Cricetulus griseus: one gene and its partner. The protein of the gene in region 1 purifies or fractionates together with the protein of each later gene. This does not show direct contact. Links are inferred from orthologs where the notes say so. Each region holds a gene or a part of one and is shown on either strand. Other genes may lie near its edges. The genes, in order: Abcc1 and Vdac3.

Region 1 (4,454 bases):
AGACCACAGCACAGTCTAGACCACTCACTCCATAGCCCTAGAAGGCTGGGAAGCTTTCCCCATACCCCTATTGTACAGCTAAACTGAGGCACAGTCAGCAGTGATGACAGCTTACTCAAGATGATAAAGTCTAGCAGGGCAGGGGATGTTAACACAGTGCTGTGTGAGGCCCTAGGTCCAATCGCAGGGTGGGGATGCAGCTACCTGCCTATCAGTAGGTAGTCTGTGCTGACTGCAACACTTAGCTTTGGAAGGCAGAAGCCACTGGCTTCAGTTTGCTGTCCTTTGAGGCACTGTCTCACTCTAGCCCAAGCCTCTCTGAAACTCTTCATCCTTTGGCCTCAGCTTCCCAAGTGCTGCAACTGTAGGTATGTGCCTCCATAACAGTCTAACCGACCTACTCTGTGTTGTGTTTGGATTCTCCAGCTATAGGGAAGTGCTTGCTTGCCAACTGCTCTCTCACCCATTCTGGTTCCAGGACTCCAGAAACAGAAGCATCCAGCAAGCCTAGACCAGTGGGAGGAGGGGCATTGATGAAAATTGAGGGAGGATGGGTCCCTGCCTAAGGTGAAGGTCAGCCACCATTATTGCCAAGCACAGTTCTTCCTTCTTAATTTTCTATGGCAAGAAGTCCCTAGAAAGAGAGAACACAAAACTGGGTTTCTTGGGTAGGTTTCTAGGCTGATTAGAAGATAGAGAACACCCCAAACACTTTTTAATCATCACTTCCCATCACTTCCCGGCAATAAAATACATCCTGGTTTGGGTTGGCAAGATGCTGGCTGCCTAATGACCTGAGTTCAATCCTCAGACCACACATGCTGGAAGGAAAGAACCAACTCCCTCAGATTTCTGACTTCCATATGTGTGCCATGGTATGCATGCCCCAGTTCTACACACACACACACACACACACACACACACACACACACACACACACACACACAGAGTACAGTATGTATGTATACATATGGATGGATATATATATAAAAATAAACTGGTACAGAATCCAATGTCTAATCAACTTACTTTCGCCCACCACAAAAGAAAATAATCCAGGAAATACACCATCAACTATTTAACACTGAGCCAGATCCCACTAGATCCTTGAAGAATAATTCTGTTCTCTCCACACAAAGCACAAGGTAGAGAACACACAGGTGTTCCTCTGTGGCAAACAGGCACCAAGCCCTTGCAGACTCCAAAATGCTAATCGCTAGCACTGTTTTCAGCCCTGGAGAAACCTCCAGCCTTGTGGCTTTAAAATGGGAGTCATATCCAAGTGTGGTAAGTTTCTCAACCAAAAATGGCACCCTTCCTCACCCAAAAGACTGAAGTCTGCCAATGGGCCTTCATAGGTTGTCACTATTATGAGGGAGGTATCCCAAAACAGTACAAGAAGGAACTTGTGGGCACTAATCAGCAACTAAGAAACGAGAGTTTTTCCTGTTTCTCAAAAAAACAAAACAAAACAAAAAAACTCTTTGTGTCCAGACTGTCTATTGTATTCACTAAATAATCAGGACAGCACGATACAGGAGTGTTCTGGAACAATGGGCAAATCGCATTACAGGGACACGAAATCCACAAGCACTGGGGATTATTAGCGCAGTCAGCCAGGGAAACCAGCCTAGGGTTATTTCAGAAGAAAGCTACCTGGAGAAGGCCAGAAGTCTCCGGAACAGCCCCAGAGCAGAGCCTCAGCACCATACAGGGTGGAAGGCACTCCCCTGGGTACCAGGGTCCCGGGCATCTCCACTGCACCCCAAACCCACAGAGGGGGGGGGGGCAGAACGGCTTCCTACCCTTCTCTTGCCTTATCCTTCCTGTTTCCTCAAACTTTCCTGGTAGCATTTAGGCAGAAAGGAAGGAAAGGATGAGAAAAACCTGATGCCAACGTAACAGGGAGGTAAACAAACAGTGGGGGACCCCCAAAACAAGGGGAGTGAAGTCACTTTGTAGAGCTCCTGCCCGGTGCTCAGAGACGGGGTGTGTGCTGTGAATGGGGGATCCTTACCCCTACTGGGGACGGAAAAACCCCCACTTAATGCCTCCAGCAGAACCCCAAAGCAGAGAGGCCGCTCCCCGCGCACGCCCAGCAATCCCGGAACCGGGTCCCCAGAGTCTGGCCGCGGCGGCTGCGCCCGGGCCCGGATGGCGGGTCCCCGCGTCTGCAGAGCGGGGCTCGGGCTGGGGAGCGGCTGGACCCGCACGTCCCAGCGTTCCCCGCGACCCCTAGACCTCCCCGACCACCCCGCGGCCCACCACCTACCCAAAGCGGGTCGGAGCCATCAGAGCTGCAAAACCTGCGTAGCGCCATGCGGGTGACCGGCTGAGCGAGAAGCCGCAGCGCCGCGCGGTTGGCCCGCGTCACCGGGATGCAGCCCCGCCCCACCCGCCCCGCCCCGCGCCACCCCGCCCGGCGCGTGGGAGCAAGCCAGGCAGGCTCCTTGGTGCCCCGGGCTGGGCGTGGAGGCCTCGTCTGCAGCTCCCACCTCCTGCCGGTTCCTAACGCCGACGCGGCCGCGAGGAACCCGGCGCTGGGCCCTCCACTCCCTGGCTTCGTCCCAGGCGATCCTAACTGTACAGCCTTTCCCGTGCTGCGGGATTTGGAGCTTTTTTCCCTTCAGAATCAACTGGCGGGGGTAGGGATGTGAGCTCCCAAGAAAGAAAAGGGAACAGATGAGGGGAACAGATGAGGAAACTGAGGCTCACCGGTGAGGAAACTCGCTCAGGGCCACTCAACGAGTACAAGGGGAGTTCGTTCGAATCAGGAACCTTAACATTCCATCCTATACACTGAGATCTCCATCCTAAACGCCTGTTTGCCACCCCTCCTCCCATGGTCTGCAAAGCACCCTGGGAATTCCTCCCACTCCCCCCTTTTTTTTTTTTTTTAAGAATTTATTTATTATGTATTCAATGCTCTGCCAGCATGTATTCCTGCATGCTGGAAGAGGGCACCAGATTTCATAACAGATGGTTGTGAGCCATCATGTGGTTGCTGGGAATTGAACTCAGGACCTCTGAAAGAGCACTCAGTGCTCTTAACCTCTGAGCCATCTCTCCAGCCCTTTCTCCCACTCTAGAGTGCAGCCAGGAAATAAGTCCTTTCCTTGTGGTTTCTTGGTTTGGATTTGGGAGATTTGGGACAGGGTCTCATATAACCAAGTCTGGCCTCTAATGCACTATGTAGTGGAAGATGATCTTGAACTCCTGATCCTCCTGCCACCATTTTTTTGATACAGGGTTTCTCTGTGTAGCCCCTGACTGTCCTGGAACTCGATTTGTAGATTAGGGTAGCCTAAAATTCAGAGATCCACTCCCAAGTGGATCTCTACAATGACCACTACAATGGGCCATGCCATGCCTCCACTTCTCGATAACCTAAACAACTGGGTTAATGTGGTGCTGAGAATAGAACCCAGGACTTCCTCCGTGCTAGGCAAGCACTCTACCCAAAGAGCTATGCCACTCCAGCCCCTCGAAAATACTTTAATTTTAAAAAAATAACAATAAAGGTAAGTGAGTAAGATAAACATAATTTATGAGGATCAACCACAAGCCAGAGAATGTTAGGTACCCGAGGCAGAGGCATGAATAAAACAGGCTCCGAACCACCCCATGAAGTAGGGCTGGCAAGAACCCAGCTGCTGATGTTCATCATAGAGGCAAGGACACTGAAGCCTAGAGACATAAGACTACTTAACACTCATGGTTAGAGAGCTACTCAAGGCTCCATGCTTAACAATATACAAACATTAACCTAAAACTCACATATCAACCCATGAAGTACATAGTATTATTCTTCCTGTTTTTCAGGTTGGAGACCAAACAGAAAACAAAAGCAACTTGTCAAAGATCATTTACATGGTGAATGACCGAGCCCAGCTTTTGAACAAAGCAGTCCTGCTAAAGGTGGGGGGGGGGAGTCAGGGGAGGGAATAAATTAATAATACCACTGTGTGATGCTGCCTCAGTACTGCTTAAGACACAGAAGAGCTGGGCGGAAGTCCAGGAGTCTAAACTTTCCAATGACTCCACCAATACCTCTAGTCTCTCCTCCTCTTCTTAGGTGTCTGCCTGATGCTCAGTCTCCGTTAGCATGCACATGAACAGCTACAGCAAATAAGAACAACTGAGTACACAAATGAGAGCCCACCGACACAAAGTTCTTGGTGAAGGAAGACGGAAGGACACAGGATTTTTCTGTGATTCTTTGACTGGTCCAGGTGCCCCCTCAATATGAGTGAGTGAGTGTTTGTTTGTTTGGTTGTTGTTGTAATAGTAACATTACTTATTTGTGTGTGTATGTGTGTGGGAATGCATGGCAATTACTTGTGGAGGTCAGAGGACAGCCTGGGAGACCTATTTCTCTTGGAACCAGGGCTCCAGGGATCTGTCTCAGGTCATCAAGCCTGGCAGTAAGTGCCTTTATCTGTAGAGCCATCTCT
Region 2 (3,814 bases), about 14 Mb from region 1:
TGCACATAGTTCACACATGCATATGTATGTATGTATGTATGTATGTATGTATGTATGTATGTATGTCCATATGTATATATGTATATGTAGGCAGGCACTCATTTATAAATTATAAATAAGGCAATAGGTTGAGGGTATAGGTCAGTGAGAGATATTGGCAGAGCCTTGGGTTCCATTCCCAGCACCCCTTTCCCACCACCACCTCTTCACCCCTACCTTCACACCCACTGTGTACCTTCATCTCCCAGTCACAATGTACTAAACTGCTGCCTATAAAAAGAGAGTATTAGAGGTAGTGTTTATAGATTTTTAAGCACCTCTAAATTTACTGTTTGACAAATATCAGAGAATTGATAGTCATCTTAGGCCATGAAAGTGAAATTCTTCAAAATTTTTTAATAAAGGCAATTATTTCTGGCAGAGATTTTTCTTTTAAAGTTAAGAATTTAATATGACCATTAAAAAAGAACGTATGGACTAATAAATATCAGTAATAAAGAAGGAATAATGGAAAATTCTAAACCTGGCTAGAAACAAAAAGAGAGAAGGAGGTAAATTGTTGAATGGTAGGGTTGTGGTAAAAAGTAAATTGTATTAGTTTCTGATACATTGAACACTGTTTTCTGAAACAAATGGTTTCTATTTGGTGAGGTCATCTTAAAATAATTATGTTCTCTTTTTTTACCAGGAATTTTCTACTTCAGGTCATGCTTATACTGATACAGGGAAAGCATCAGGCAACCTAGAGACCAAGTATAAGGTCTGTGACTATGGACTCACCTTCACCCAAAAGTGGAATACAGACAATACTCTTGGGACAGAAGTCTCTTGGGAGAATAAGGTAAGAACAAGCAGTTTACGATATTTGTAGGTTTAATATCTCTTTCACATCAAATAAGGAGCATTACTGGGGCTGGAGACATGGCTTAGCTGTTAAGAGCATCTACTGCTCTTACAGAGGACCTGAGTTCAGTTCCCAGAACCTTGTCAGGTGGCTCATAGCCATCTGTAACTCCAGCTCCAGGGGATCTAATAACTCTGGCCCCACAAGCAGCTGCACTTGTCTGTATGTACTCCCACATACACACACACAAATACACATGATTAAAAATAATCAAATAAATCTTTAAAAAATTGGACAAACTCCAAATATAATTTGAGTGGAATTTTTACAATGCCGCCTGCCATATTTTCCCTTTATTTATTTTCTTGGCTTGTCTTAACATTTCTAGAAATCTGCACTGCATCTTTGTTCTGATTAGTTAATTGTGTCACAGAGTCAATCCTCTCCTGTGTAGTACAGATCCTCTTTGTAATCTTTGCAAATTTAGAATCACAGAAATGTTTCTAAGTTTTTAAATGTTTTTAAGGAGAAAACCAAGTAGCTGATTTTTGTTAGATATGCATTGTTTACAGGGCACTACATTTTCTTTCGGAGAATAGATATTATGTAGTATAGGCCAGTCTCAAACTTTCTTTATAGCTGAAGTTGACCTTGAACTCCTGATTTTCCTGCCTGTGCAGGAATTATAAGAGTGTGCCACCGTGCCCACCTGAGTTTTCAAGGTACATCTATGTATATTGGCCCATAGTAAGGGGTACAGCTGATGAAATTTGTTTTTGTTAAATGTCAGGTTATCTTATAGTTATTTCAAGAGAATTAGCAGGATTATTTTGTTACATTGGAGTAATTACTTTTTGACAATTTATGTTATTTAATGTATTAGGATTTGTCCTATACATTTTAACCTTTTAAATTTTGTTTTTGTTTGTTGTTATTTTGAGACAGGGTTTCTCTGCATAGTCCTGGCTGTTCTGGAACTCAGTCTATAGACCAGGGGGCCTCAAACTCACAGAGATCCACCTGCCTCTGCCTTCCAAGTGCTGGGATTAAGGGCTTGCATCACCACATCTGGCTCCTTTTTAAAATTTTTGAGATGGTGGCCTTATTATGTCACTGAGGCTGATTGCAAACTTCTGTGTTTAAGGTTTTCTACCTCAGCCTCCTGAGTAGCTTTGATTACAAGGACATGCTGCCACCATAGCCAGTTTAATTTATATTTTGATAAGAGAGCCAGGAGGAAGGGAGGGCTTGAGAGGAGGGAGTTAGGGGGATCAAGAAAGATGGGAGAGTGGTAGTGCATGCCTTAATCCCAGCACTGTGAGTGGGGAGGCACAAGTGGATCTCTGAGTCCAAGGCTAACCTGGTCTCTATAGAAGAAGCTCCAGGACAGCCAGGGCTACACGGAGGAACTCTGTCTTGGAAAAAAGAAAGAAAAGATGGGGGAGGTTATTTATTATATAATTGACTCTTTGGCTTTCTTTAATGATTCATAATTAAAGAGAAAATAGGAAGAAGTTTTAGAATTGGCTTTTTTGACTTGAAGAATAGAAAATTAATTATTAATTGACAAATTTTTGTTTTACAGTTGGCGGATGGGTTGAAACTGACTCTTGATACCATATTTGTACCAAACACAGGGTAATTATCCAAACCCATTTTTTATCTGATTTCTTCTCGGAGGCCTAGAACTTTAACATTGGAAATGTAAAATGGGAGCTGTAGGGGCAGAAAGAAACTGAGAACTTGTTTTAGCAATGTTAGAATACTTGTATGTCTTTAAAGAAGGAACTCCTCAGGCAGCAGCACATTGCCAGTAAAAATGTTTAAACAGGTACAGCTAGTTTAGGAATTAGAAAGGCTGAGACCATAGTTTATCTATTCTAAAGACTAATGGGCATGGCAAGAGTGTAATCCACTGATTGTGAGGGACCAGGGTGAGTGGTTGTGCTGCTGTCTTAATTTCTGAGCCCTGAAAGTCCTCTAGGCTTAGTCTATTTTCCCATTGTGTCATTTAACTGCCCAACCTAGTTTCTGCTATCTGAAGGCAGAGATGCTAGATAAATGCAAAGAGGAATTTGTTCTTAGACACAACAATGAGACTGTCCTTCCTGTCTTATGCTTTTTAGAACACATATTGTCTTAAAAGCCATGTGAAGTCTATTTGGAACTAATAGACAAAGGTTATTCAGAACTAATTTTGAATAGTCAGCATTGCTATTGAAAGTATATTTCTGCTGGGTGTGTTGGTGCACACTTTTAATCCCAGCATTCTGGAGACAGGCAGGTGGATCTCCACAAGTTCCAGGCTAACCAGGGCTACTTACTGAGACCTTGTCTAAAACAAACAACAAAATGTGTATTTCTACTAATAATTTAGTAATGTGTTTTGATGTTAGTTTTGTAGCACTTGAAAACATTTAAAGATATTTCTGTGTATATTTATACATATTTATATATCTTCAGATTATTAGTTTGGCAGTGCAATATTTTACTAGTTATGGACTTTATATTTTTGACAAAATTATATATGTCTGTGAGGGAATATGTAGTGTTTGAATATGTGTATACATTATATAATCATATAGGGTAAGTGTGTCTATCTCATCAAACCTCTATCATTTTTTTTTTTAGTTGAAAGCAAATTTAAAACCCTTGCATTGTTTTTGAAATATATAGGACTTTATATGTAGTGACCCTGATGTGCAACAGAACTTCAAAACAATTTTCCTATCTGTTAACTATCTGATGATTTTTTTCATGCCTTTATGAGATGAATCATAAAATACTCTTATTTCAACTAATGGTGAAGAATATAATGACATATATGCTTCTTTATATGTGTGTGTGTGTGTGTGTGTGTGTGTGTGTGTGTGTGTGTGTGTGTATATATATATATATATATATATATATATATATATTTATTCTTTGTGTAGACCTGACCTGGCTCTCCTGGAACTCACAGAGATATAC

The links.
Region 2: the proteins of Abcc1 (region 1) and Vdac3 fractionate together in Homo sapiens (co-fractionation; 3 studies listed by BioGRID). This does not show direct contact. The link is inferred for Cricetulus griseus from reciprocal best matches to the Homo sapiens genes ABCC1 and VDAC3.

The regions. Positions count from the first base shown.
Region 1 is NW_023276807.1:75,557,474-75,561,927, reverse strand, and holds the start of Abcc1 (multidrug resistance-associated protein 1), read right to left. Parts: upstream 2,857-4,454; 5' UTR 2,845-2,856; coding exon 2,716-2,844; intron 2,386-2,715; exon of another isoform or gene 2,321-2,385; coding exon of another isoform or gene 2,273-2,320; intron 1-2,272.
Region 2 is NW_023276807.1:61,097,501-61,101,314, forward strand, and holds part of Vdac3 (voltage-dependent anion-selective channel protein 3), read left to right. Parts: intron 1-688; coding exon 689-841; intron 842-2,429; coding exon 2,430-2,482; intron 2,483-3,814. UniProt on the Homo sapiens protein: Non-selective voltage-gated ion channel that mediates the transport of anions and cations through the mitochondrion outer membrane and plasma membrane.